Linked DNA regions of Ovis aries. The protein of the gene in region 1 purifies or fractionates together with the protein of each later gene. This does not show direct contact. Links are inferred from orthologs where the notes say so. Each region holds a gene or a part of one and is shown on either strand. Other genes may lie near its edges.

Region 1 (5,614 bases):
AAAGTGAAGTCGCTCAGTCGTGTCCCACTCTTAGCGACCCCATGGACTGCAGCCCAGCAGGCTCCTCCATCCATGGGATTTTCCAGGCAAGAGTACTGGAGTGGGGTGCCATTGCCTTCTCCTATCAGCCTGAGGGCCTGCCTACTGTTTAACAGATAGGAAGTGGGGAGCTGTATAAACTGATCTAGTTTCTTCCTAGGATTTATTGGCGGGGGGGGGGGGGGAGTTTTTAATGCAGCCATGTACTCTGCATTGTGATATGAAAGCTGCCACCTTCACTAGGTCATTTCTTTACCAGCTTTGAGAGACCAAAGATAATTGTGTCTTCCTGGGGCAAGTGTGAGGAGAAGCTCATGAGTACCAGGCAAGTATAATGAACAAGGTGAATTCTTAACAGTTGTATTCATGGGACATCATTCTGCATGGTCCTTATTGCCTGTACTCTGTAAATACCAATTAATCCTCTGCCACTGCTCTGACTAGGTAGAGATAATACCATGTTCCAAACCCAGACACCAGTCAATGAGGGCTGTGGCCCTTCCCCCACTCACTGCTTATACAAGGCTCCCCTTGATTCTTGGAGTTTATTCTTACTCTCCAGTTGTTAGCTACCCAAAGGAACACAGATGACTGAACTGAATGAAAATCAGAATGCATTCCAGTGACAGCAAGCCCTGGCCCTATCGCCTGCCTTTGCAGCCTGCTGCCAGGTGGCGCTAGTGGTAAAGAACCTGCCTACCAGTGCAGGAGATGTAAGAGATGTAGGTTCGATCCCTGGGTCAGGAAGATCCCCTGGAGAGGGAAATGGTAACCCACTCCAGTATTCTTGCCTGGGAAATCCCATAGACACGGAGGAGCCTGGTGGACGACAGTCCATAGGGTTGCAAAGAGTCAGACATGACTGAAGCAACTTAGCACGCACGCATGCCATTAGAAGCAGATTGGCTGGGTGTGGAGCAGGCTGTCCTCGTGGTGTCAAGAGGTCATGGGGTGTGTCAGTTCCCTCTCCACCCTGACAGGGCCTTGTCTGTTTTCTGGCACCGTCATTTGAGGTGAGTCACGTGTGGAGAAATCAGTGGCAGTTAGTGACTCTCTGAGACAGAAAATCCTCCCCCACCCACTCAGGCTTTACTGTCTGAGGAGCAAGCCAGGTTAATAGACGCATGTCCAAGGACAGAAAACTTCTGCTAGGGATGCTGATTTCCCTACATCATTTTTTTAAAAATAGATAATAAAGTCATATGGTTTAGAAATCAAAACAGTAGAAAAAGATGTATGGTGAAAAGTCTTAATTCATCTTTGTCCCAGTCCACCTAATCCCCTCATCAATAGCCATTTCTGTTAATTTGGTATCCTTCCAGTGTGTATGGGGGCAGATACAAGCAAGTGTGAATGTACACATATATTTGCCTACCTTTCTTACACAAAAGTAGCGCCTTCTGTATACTTCCGCAGGGGTGGCAGGTTTAGATAGAAAGGTCATGAAAGAGGTTCAACTGAGCTGAGATCAGAACGATAAGGGGCCAGCAAAGGGGAGCAGCAAAAGCAAGAGACAGTAATGAGCAGGGTGGGATGAGGAAGAGAGAATGCCAGAAGGGCCTGAAGTCAGTGCTGGGAGCATGGTGTGAGGAGAGGCACAGGGCCAGATCAAACAGAATTTTTAAGTCCTGGGCAGGAGTTTGGATTTATTTTAGGTGTAATGGGAAACCATTGTAAAATTTTAAACAGGTGAGGAATATGATCCAGTTTGCATTTCTAAATGATCACTCCAGGTGCTGAGTGTAGGGTGGATTATAAAGGGGTAAGGTGGAAGCAGGAAGACCAGTTAGAAGACATGATAATTTAGATGAGAGGTGATCACTTGAACTGGGTTAGTGGTAGTACAGATGGAGAAAAGTGGACACACCTAGGATTTTTGAGATAGGGTCTAAGATTTTGAAAAGAATCAAATATTATTTGATTCACTTTCAGCGAAAGTGACAGTTGGATTAATGATATTGATAATGACTTCTTTTCTTATGAAGCCTTTGTATGTTACAATCTGAGCATTTTGAAGGCAGAAACTGTCTTACCTTTTTAAATTTAACCACGTAGCAAAATGTTTGGCTCATAAAAAAGCGCTCAGCATCATTCATCCATTCATCAACATCTAGTAAGTGCCCGCTCTGTCTGTCCCATGCTGGAGGCCAGAGAATCCTCTCACTTTGCATTATCAAGGAAGTAGGCTGAAATATGATCTTTATGAAACTGAAGAGAATGTGATTCTACAAAAATCTAGACCTGTTTTGGAGCGTAGGCATTGCTCCTTGGGACTCAGGGCAACACCTCGGGTTGGGCCTCATAACATAAGAACTTGGGGGAGCTCCCTGGTGGTCTAATGGTTAAGGATTTGGCACTTTCACTGTTGTGGCCCAAGTTCAGTCCTTTGTTGGGGAACTGAGGTCTCGCAGCCAAAGAAAAATGAACTTTTGCCAGTAAGTCTCTGCCCCCCTCCCCCCAGTTCATCCCTCAGGACCCATATCAAATTCTGTCCTGTCCATAAATACCTGCCCTGACTGACCTAGACTGGAAAGATCTCACCCTCCTCTGGATTTTTTGGCCAATTATTGTATATTTGTAATCCAGTTGGCATTTAATAATTGACCACCTTATGTCTTGCACTCACTGTCCTGGAATGTTATTTATAGTTCTTATTGTTATATAACTTTTTACTTGTCTTATGTCACAATCCATTTGGAATCTTGAGCACAGGAAACACATCTGAAGCCTTACCCATCGCAGATCTCACTGTTGCCGTGACCCCAGGGACCTCTGGCGCTGGAAGCTGCACAGCGGCTTGATCGGCTTTGCAGAGTTATCGTCCCCAGGCTCCTGGCTCCGCTAATTCTCTTGTGTCCCCTTTGCCCTGCTTTAACTTCTTCCAGGCCCCTCACTGTGAGCATGCTTTCTGCAATGCCTGCATCACCCAGTGGTTCTCTCAGCAGCAGACGTGTCCGGTGGACCGGAGCGTTGTAACGGTCGCCCACCTGCGCCCAGTACCTCGGATCATGCGGAACATGCTGTCAAAGCTGCAGATTGCCTGCGACAACGCTGTGTTCGGCTGCAGTGCTATCGTCCGGCTTGACAACCTCATGTCTCACCTCAGTGACTGTGAGCACAACCCCAAACGGCCTGTGACCTGTGAACAGGGCTGCGGGTAAGAGTCCTGCCTTTCTTCTGCCCACAGAGAGGGGTCTTCCCGTTTATACCCATCTGTGGACCTCCCACTCCCTGCTGAAGAGGTCTCCTGTGTGCATAGGCAAGGAGTGCTCTTGGCCTCCCTGGCTCCCTGCTCCAGGATCTGTTTTGTGCTGCTTTCCGAGCTACAGTCTTTGTCCTCTTGCTTTAGTAAGAGAAGGGAGACCGCTTCAGCAATCTGTGTGATACCACTAAAGACTGATTTACTTTATTCCTCCCTTTTGTCCAGTACTACTTCTCTTTGTCAGATTCACTGCTCTAATTTCCAGGCCTTTCATGTTACCTCTGGTCCTATTTTGTCTTTCTTTGGGGTGTAAGATATTTGATTAAATACTGATAGCTGGGGCTTTGAATCTAGGGCTTCTCAGAAGGAATGAGTCCACAGGCAGAATCTGTAAGAGGAACGCAGAGCCACGTGGGAGATAAAACACTGTCTTGGAGAAGGAAAGAGGCCCAGAGGAAGAAGACAGCAAAGGGATATGGTGGGTGGGGGAGCTGGGGAGAAGGAAGTGAAGGCAGTAAACAAGAGAATGTTAGAAATGAATGAATGTTAGTAATTTCCGGTAGAGAAAAGCCCTCTCAGCAGTTACCTGCCTGTGCCACATATCTCATTGAACGCTCCTGTCGTGTTCTTTTCCCACCCTGGGTGGCAGCCTGGAGATGCCCAAAGATGAGCTGCCAAACCACAACTGTATTAAGCACCTGCGCTCAGTGGTACAGCAGCAGCAGACACGGATTGCAGAGCTGGAAAAGACCTCAGCGGAACACAAACACCAGCTGGCGGAGCAGGTAGGGCCTGGAGAACACAGAGTGTGTGCCTGTGGTTGATAGGCACGGATGTGAGCGGCGGATCTGTGCCTGTGCTTGTGAGCCTGGTTAGTGGATACTCTGCCTATGCATAACAGCGAATCAGACTGGAGCTCTTCTTGTTCCTCATTATCCCATCAGTGACATTCATTTATTTACCATTTATCAAATGCCTTCCCTTGGAGGCACTTTGCCAAGCACTGAGGGTACAGCTGGGATTGATACAGTCGTATCCTTGTCTTCATGAACCTTCCAGTCTGGTTGTTCCTCAGACCTCTCGATTTCCTTCATTTTGTCTTTCATCCATTGTCTGTCTTAACCATTATCCCTTGTTCTCCTTCCCTCCGACAGAAGCGAGACATTCAGCTGCTCAAGGCATACATGCGTGCAATTCGCAGTGTCAATCCCAACCTTCAGAACCTGGAAGAGACCATTGAGTACAACGAGATTCTAGAGTGAGTGTCATTCAGGATGTGGAATCCTCGTTCCATGTCCTGACACTGAGCCCTGAGGAGAGAAGAGCAGGGAAGTGGCAGAGGGGGAGGGTAAGAAGAGGGCTGGGCCGGGGCCACTGCTCCTCAGATGATGGGATGAAGAACACGAGGCGGAAAAGAAGGGGATCACCTTCAGCCCCAGTACAGGATCTCATATTTTTGGTGGATGGAACGGAAAGCTTACCTAAGAGTTAGGTGGGTACCCACATGCACAAAACCCTGTGTTAAAAGAGAAAATATTGTCCCTGTCTTCAGGGAGTTTACAATTCAGAGAAGAGAGTGCAAAGATCCAGGAAAGTGATCTAAAATGTGGCAAAAACAAGTGAAGTCTAAGATCCCTTTCAGTTTTAGAGTTCTACATAGTTCATAGACTAAACTGTGAGTCAGTCTATACAGTGCTGCAAGGGACACAGAATAGAGGAATCATTGCTTCATTCGGTATTCATTTTTGTTGAATACTTACTACCTGCCAGGCACCATGTGCTAAGTATTGGAATTTTCAGAAGAAACAACAGGAACCCTACACTTGTGGGGTTTAATCCGGTGAGGAACACGTGCTGACACTCAGATGGGACCACCTAGGGAAAGATCTGGAGTTTCTGAACCAATGGTGGAAGGAAAGAAGGAGGAATCAAGTTAGGCTGAGGGCAGAGCAGGCAGTCGTTACTATTAGGAGGAAAGCCAGTGCAGAGAAAGGGGCTGACCTTCACTGACCCCCTCCAACTCCCTCCACACAGGTGGGTGAACTCCCTGCAGCCTGCACGAGTGACCCGCTGGGGCGGCATGATCTCCACCCCTGACGCTGTGCTCCAGGCTGTCATCAAGCGCTCCCTGGTGGAGAGTGGCTGTCCTGCCTCTATTGTCAATGAGCTGATTGAAAACGCCCACGAGCGGAGCTGGCCCCAGGGTCTGGCTACGTTAGAGACAAGACAGATGAACCGGCGTTACTATGAGAACTACGTGGCCAAGCGCATCCCTGGCAAGCAGGCTGTTGTCGTGATGGCCTGTGAGAACCAGCACATGGGTGACGACATGGTGCAGGAGCCTGGGCTCGTCATGATCTTTGCGCATGGTGT
Region 2 (6,114 bases), on another chromosome or scaffold:
CCTTCTCTGTAGCAGCTCCTCACTGGGAGAGAACTGCTAGGTTTCCACCTTCCCCCTGGGGCCCCAGAGCAAGCCTCAGGCTGCAGGAGATCTGCCATCATCATCCACAAGGCCCTCCCCAGGCGACAGGTCCCAGTGCCTTCCATCAACTGGGAGGTGAGCTTGAGAAAGGCCCCTCGGGGCTCCCAGGGACTCAAGCCAGGCAGCACCAGGCCTGCCGCGGACATGCTGGGGACCTGCAGTCTCTCCTGGTAACTCGGTTCCTGCATCTTGGAAGCAAAGTGGCCCAGAGGGGCAGGAAACACGTCAAGAGTACAAGGTACTCTGACTCCAAGCCTGCTGCCTGGAGAACTGGCTCTGGGACCTGGAGCAAGTCCCCTCCCTGTTGTGACTGCAGTTTACCCATCTCCAGAATTAATAAAACAACTCCTGGAACTTCCCAGCCGGTTCAGTAGTTAAGGCTCTGCACTTTCACTGCAGGAAATGCGGCTTTGATCCCTGGGTCGGGGAACTAAGATCTTGCATGCCGCACAGCGTGCCCCCCAAAACAAAACAAAACAAAGAACTCAACTCCTGTGATAGCCTCTACATTTACGGCCCACATCCACAGTCTCTAGGCTTTCACCTCGCCTCTGTGAGGCTGGCAGCTGGAGAGAAGATCAGGGACTGATTCACGTGGACAAAGCATTAACCTGTCCTGCTCACCTCTCCCATCCAATCTCCTCCCTCTCTCCAGGCTCAGAACTGTTCCCTGAATTCCACAAGTTTCCTCCTACTTCGCTTAGCCTGGAAGGGTCTCACTCCAGCTCCTTACTCAGCTGGCTCCCTCTCATCCTGGCCTCCCTAAGCCGCCCAGTCCCCCCTCGTGTCCCTCCCCACCCTCGTGACGATCCCTAGTGTGATGCAGTGTGTGATGCAGTGTGTGACTACTGTCTAATTCCAGTCTCCTCCACTAGGACCAACAGCTCCATGAAAACAGACACTTCATCCTCAGATCTGTGTTAGTGCCTGGTACCCAGCAGGTATTAAGTAACTAGTTGGTGAATGAATGAATGAGGGGCCAGGATTACTTTGGGTGGGGAGGAGGCTCTATTCCTTCCCCACAGAGTCTGCCAGAGAACATGGTAAGCGCCCACGGAAATGTGTCATGTACCACTTGAGAATAACAGTGGTGGAAATTACCCTCCTCTGAGGCTCACTCCACTCAGGGTGGAGCTCTCAGGGTGTTTGCGCACATAACTCATTGAACCCTTAAGGTTGGAAGATGTGTGATGTCTCTTTTTACAACAGGGAGACTGAGGTCCAGAGACATTAAGGGGCTTGCCCAAGATCACACAACCAGGAAGGCACACTCTTCAGATATAACAGTGGTCTGAGGCCTGCATGTGAAGCCAGAAACACTGAATGAATGAGGGAAACTGAGGCTGAGCCCTGACCCAGGCAGTGGGTGGTCCCCAGCCAGGTCCTGGCCCCTGTGAGGCCTCAGGTTCAATCTCCAGCCTTCTGGAACTGTTTCCCATCCTAACAATCATGGGTGGCTGGGCAGGACTCCAGAGCTCTGCCAGGTAATTTCCTGGGATGAACAGGAGCTGGTGGGGGTGGATGAGGGAGACCATGAAGTCAAGTTCTACAGCCCATCTTCCCTTGCCAGGGGAGCAATGGAGGCCAGGAGGCAGGATTGAGGAGCTCAAGGCAGGTCAGGTACCACCTGGGCAGGGCCAGGCCTTCTCTGGCTGATCTCCCTCCTCTCTCCTAATAGCCTCCTCACAGCTGGCTTGTGAAGACTGCAGGAGCTGACTGAGCCCCCGATTGTCCACACTGAATGGGGGCTTTGGGAAGGCTTACCCTCCCAATTAACAGATGAGAAAACTAAGGCCTGGTCTGAGGAAAGGTTAGAGGCTAAAAGGGTAGGTTATTCTGATTCAGACAGACTCTGTCCTTCTATTGTACAAGCAGTTACTAAACACATGTGGGGTAGCAGATCCTGGGGGAGATGGAGAAGGAGAGACATAGTTAAGCAAGACCTCACAGACTCTAAAGACAGAGAAACCCTTTTGGCCCGAAGAGCTACACTGCCAAGGGTAAGTATTGCCAGGCAGACAGAAATCAACAGAGTGCCATGAACTCGGAGGCTCTTGGCCAGGGGTGCTCCGGGTATTGTACTAGGATACCAACTGATAAGAGCAGGTAACATTTCAGCCTCTTCCAAACCGTGCCCAGCCCGTGGCGGGAGAACCCAGGAAGCCGGCAATCTCCCAGGCCAACACCGACATATGAGGGCTGGGCCGACGCTCAAGTTGCCTCAGTGGGCAGACAGCTTGGCCTGCATCCAGTAGGTCCTCATGTGCACTGAAAGGGTGACGGTCATGCCTGCTTTCCTGGGAAGCTCTCAGGTCCCCTACATGCCCAGAGAAAAAGCCTCTTTCAGATGCCAGCTTTCCTCTTCTTATTGGAAAGGAGATGGGCACTGCTGGGGGGCACGATAGGACTGCTGTGTATACAGGGCCAATCCAAAACTGGGCAGAAGACAATACCCTGGGATTTAGGGAGGTGTGAACGGGTTCTCCCAGGACACCATCCTCCCAGGCTGCAGGACCGTTAGACTGGGCGCGGAAGTCGGACTCTAGCCAAGGGGATGTTCCCAGATGTCATGCTTTCAAATGCGGACCCGCCCTAAAAGGCAGGCAGGGACAGGCCCGAGCCAGGAAAGCCCTGGGTGAAGACTCAGGCTAGTGTTCAGGCCTCTCCTTAGCCAGAGATGGCCACAGGTCTCCCCGGCAAACGGCACACCAGTGCCTGTCCCAGAAAGGAGGGCCACCCAGCGGCCTGGGGGTGGGGGCTTTGAGCCTCGATTTCCGAGGTCCAGGCCCTCACGGAGCACCCACCCCCATCCCAGGCACCTTATCTAAGCATCCTCCAAAGCACTCAAGACCCCCTTCCTAAATCAAAGCCCATCGGCAGTCTCCTCCAGGTTCCTCCCTTAGGAGAAGGTTTCCCAGATACAATGGGAAGCGGGATGCGAGGGAGCCCCTGAGGGTTTAGGCCCCTTGCCCAGCTAGAGCGGTGGGACAGCGGGCCGGCTGGTGCCTCGGGCCAGTGGGGCGGACACCCGCGCCTCCCCGCGGCCTCCCCTTCCCCCACCGGGACCCCCGCCCCGACCCCGCACCTTGAGATAGTCGTTCTCCGAGCGCAGCTCCTCCAGCTCTCGCACGAAGCCTCCGGGTCCGCAGTCCAGCATCTCTTCGGTGAGGTCGGAGAAGGCGAGCGAGGCACTGAGGGGCAGGCGGCTGCTGCCCACCGACGACGCGGCCACCGACGGCTCCTCGGGGGAGGCGGGGGGCCGCGGAGGCTGCTGTGCCGGCTGCGCCGGCTGGGGCGGCTGTCCCGTGCGGGCCCCCCCGGGGCCCCCGGCAGCCGACTCGGCGTCGCTGCTCAGCGCCAGCTCCAGGCCCAGCAGGCGCGCCTCCTCCGACGCGCAGTCCGACACCTCCGAGCTGCTGTCGGTGAGGCTGGGCGGCGGTGGCGGCGGTCTCGGCCCGGTCCCCGGGCGCGGACGGCCCTTGGCGCGGACCCCGGTGCGGACCCCGGCCACTCGCGTCCCTGCGCCCCGCGCCCCGGGCGCCACCGCACGCCCCTTCTTGTCCGGCCTCGCCGAGGACGCGGCGCTGCAAGCGGCCGCGGCGCCCGGGCCTGGGCCGCGGCGGCCCTTGGCCAGAGACCAGCCGGCCACGTCCTTGGGCCGGGCCGGCGACGGCGCGCGGTGGCTCTTCTTCCTCTCCGGTGCGGGAGCAGGCGGGGGGCCGCAGCCCCGAGCCGGGGGCTCCCCCGCCGGCACCTCCATCGCGGTTTGCCTTGGCCTCAAGGAGCGGCGCGCATGGCCCGGGCCCACCCGGCCTCCGCGCCCGGGGGGAGGCTCCTGGCGCCGCTCCGGCCGCTGGGGTCGCGGCTCCTCTCGGCCCACCTCAGACCCCGGGCTGCGCTCCGGCCCCGACCCCCGCCGCACGGTCTCTCCACTGCTCTGGGCTCGGAGAGAGCGGCCCGATCGCCTCCAGGCACCCCGGCTCCGGCTCCGGCTCCGCCCGGCGCCCGCCCCCTCGGCCTCGCCGCGCCCCCGGAGCGTGCCCGGGCCCCGGCTGCCTGCGCGCCGATCGCTCTCTCGAGCTCCGAGTCCGGCTGCGGCCCGGGCCCCGGCTCCGCCCGGCGCGGCCCGCCCCCCGCGCAGCCCCGCCAGCTCCCCGCCCCGCCGCCTCGGCTCGGGGACGCGCGGCTCCGCGAACAAAAGGCGGACGCGGCGGGAGCGGCAGGGAGGGACACAGGCAGCGAGCGAGGGAGGGATCTGCGAGGCAACAGCGACCCCCTCGAGGGTCAGGCCGGCCGAGGCTGCCGAGGCCCCGGCTCCCTCCGCCTCCGTTCCGCCGCCGTCCCCTCCCCTGCTGGCCTGGGCGACGCCCCCGGCGGAGGCGCCTTCGCTCCCCTCATCCGCGCAGAGGTCGCGCGAGCCGCGAGACGGGGGACTCCCAGGCAGAGGCCCGGCGGACCTCAGATCGCGTGAGCCAGCATCCATATACACGCCGAGCACCTCGCCCCTCGCGGCTGTGCGGAGCGTGCGCGAACTCCGCCCCCCTGAACCTAGCGGAGCGAGACAGTTCATCCCAATGTACAGATGCGTAAACTGAAGCCTGGGGAAGACCGGCGATCCCGGCCCACTGTTACTGGCAGAGCCGGGATGGACGCCAGACCTCGCGCCTCCAAGGGCGTGCTCCGGACGTCCAGGCTTGGCTTCCCTCTCATAGTCGTGGGGAGCGTCTGGCCCTCGGTGCCTGCCCAGCTCTGCACGCCTTGACCGGCTGTGACCCCAGGCACGCTCGCTGCTTCCCTGAACCCAGTCTCAGGCTCTGCCCCGCTAAAATCGAGGCGACCCGTTCTGAGAAGTCAGACCTGCGATTGCTTTAGGAGTAGGTTTTGGCTCCCGCGTAGGCTAGTCCGAGCTGGACCTGGTTGCCCTGATCCTCACACGTCCCTGACAGAGCAACTCCATATGACCCTGGAGCCCCGACTCTGATGGGTGTCGTTTCTTCCCTTCCAGAACTGTGCTCCCGTGTTGTTGATGTTCCCATGTGGCTGTCACACCTCCCCCGCCCCCTCTCCTCGCTGCTACCCGCCATCGCCGCCTGGCCCCTGCTGGGCAGAGTCATCGGAAGTCCTTTGGCTGCCCAGCGGGGTGGCGATCACCCTCAGGGTGGCAGCCCCTTGCGACGGTGGGGGGCAGGGCTGTGTTTACCCCTCTGCAGCCCCTTCCTCCTCCCTCTGTTCCTCTTACTTTCGTTTCCTCCTCTTAACCCTTTCCCCCTTCCTTTTCCATTTCCCTTTCCCTCCTCTTCCTCCTCCCCCCAGTCCTGTTGCCTCACTCCTCCGCCTTGACACACAGCTGGCCCCAGCTCCACTTTGTTTCTGTCCCTCCTACCCCACAGCGGTGAATACACTCCTGGGGTTTGCCCTCTCCTTGTGAGGCAAGGCTTCATTCCCATCTAGGGGTGTCTAGGTGTGTGAGTGCCCCCTCCATCCTGAAACCCTTTCTCCAGGTGCCTCCACCAGCCAGGTAAGGAGCAGGGCCCCTTGACAGGTCCTCTGCAAACACTTCTTCAGGGGCATTTCCATCCCCTCCTGGCAAAGCACCAGCTCCCCTGCCGGCACTGACTGTCCACTCACCCAGTCCACAGAGAGCCACAGTGGTGGACTTGTCAGTGGTGAATTCCTGACCTCACGGAGCACGCAGTCAAGGGAGGAGATGAGCCACAAAAGAGTCATCACCCACAGGATGGCATGACATTCCACCAAGGCAAGGACCAAGGTAGGCCCTCCTCTGGTTCTCCGGCCTCAGAAGAGCTCATGTGATATAATGGAGGACAGGGTCCTTCTAGCTCTGATGACCCCATTTCTTGTAGACTGGTTCTGGTCTGGCACAGAGAGATGCTGTGTGGCTCTTAGAAACTCCATACCCTCTCTGAGCTTCAATTTCTCCATCTATGCAGAATGTGGGCTTGGAGATGCTGGATGATGTGAACCGTGGCAGGGGGATACATGCTAGAGCAGGCTGCTCAGCCACTCCTGACA

Evidence for each region. Proteins that work in one complex are often made in the same cells at the same time.
Region 2: the proteins of RNF41 (region 1) and MTCL2 purify together in Homo sapiens (affinity purification with mass spectrometry; 3 studies listed by BioGRID and IntAct, with this or other methods). This does not show direct contact. The link is inferred for Ovis aries from reciprocal best matches to the Homo sapiens genes RNF41 and MTCL2.

What each region holds. Positions count from the first base shown.
Region 1 is NC_056056.1:163,342,071-163,347,684, forward strand, and holds part of RNF41 (E3 ubiquitin-protein ligase NRDP1), read left to right. Parts: exon of another isoform or gene 1-2,924; coding exon 2,925-3,196; exon of another isoform or gene 3,197-3,890; coding exon 3,891-4,026; exon of another isoform or gene 4,027-4,395; coding exon 4,396-4,499; intron 4,500-5,275; coding exon 5,276-5,614. UniProt on the Homo sapiens protein: Acts as E3 ubiquitin-protein ligase and regulates the degradation of target proteins. Polyubiquitinates MYD88. Negatively regulates MYD88-dependent production of pro-inflammatory cytokines.
Region 2 is NC_056066.1:65,887,133-65,893,246, forward strand, and holds the start of MTCL2 (protein SOGA1), read right to left. Parts: upstream 4,190-6,114; 5' UTR 3,842-4,189; coding exon 3,167-3,841; intron 1,638-3,166; exon of another isoform or gene 1-1,637. UniProt on the Homo sapiens protein: Microtubule-associated factor that enables integration of the centrosomal and Golgi-associated microtubules on the Golgi membrane, supporting directional migration. Preferentially acts on the perinuclear microtubules accumulated around the Golgi.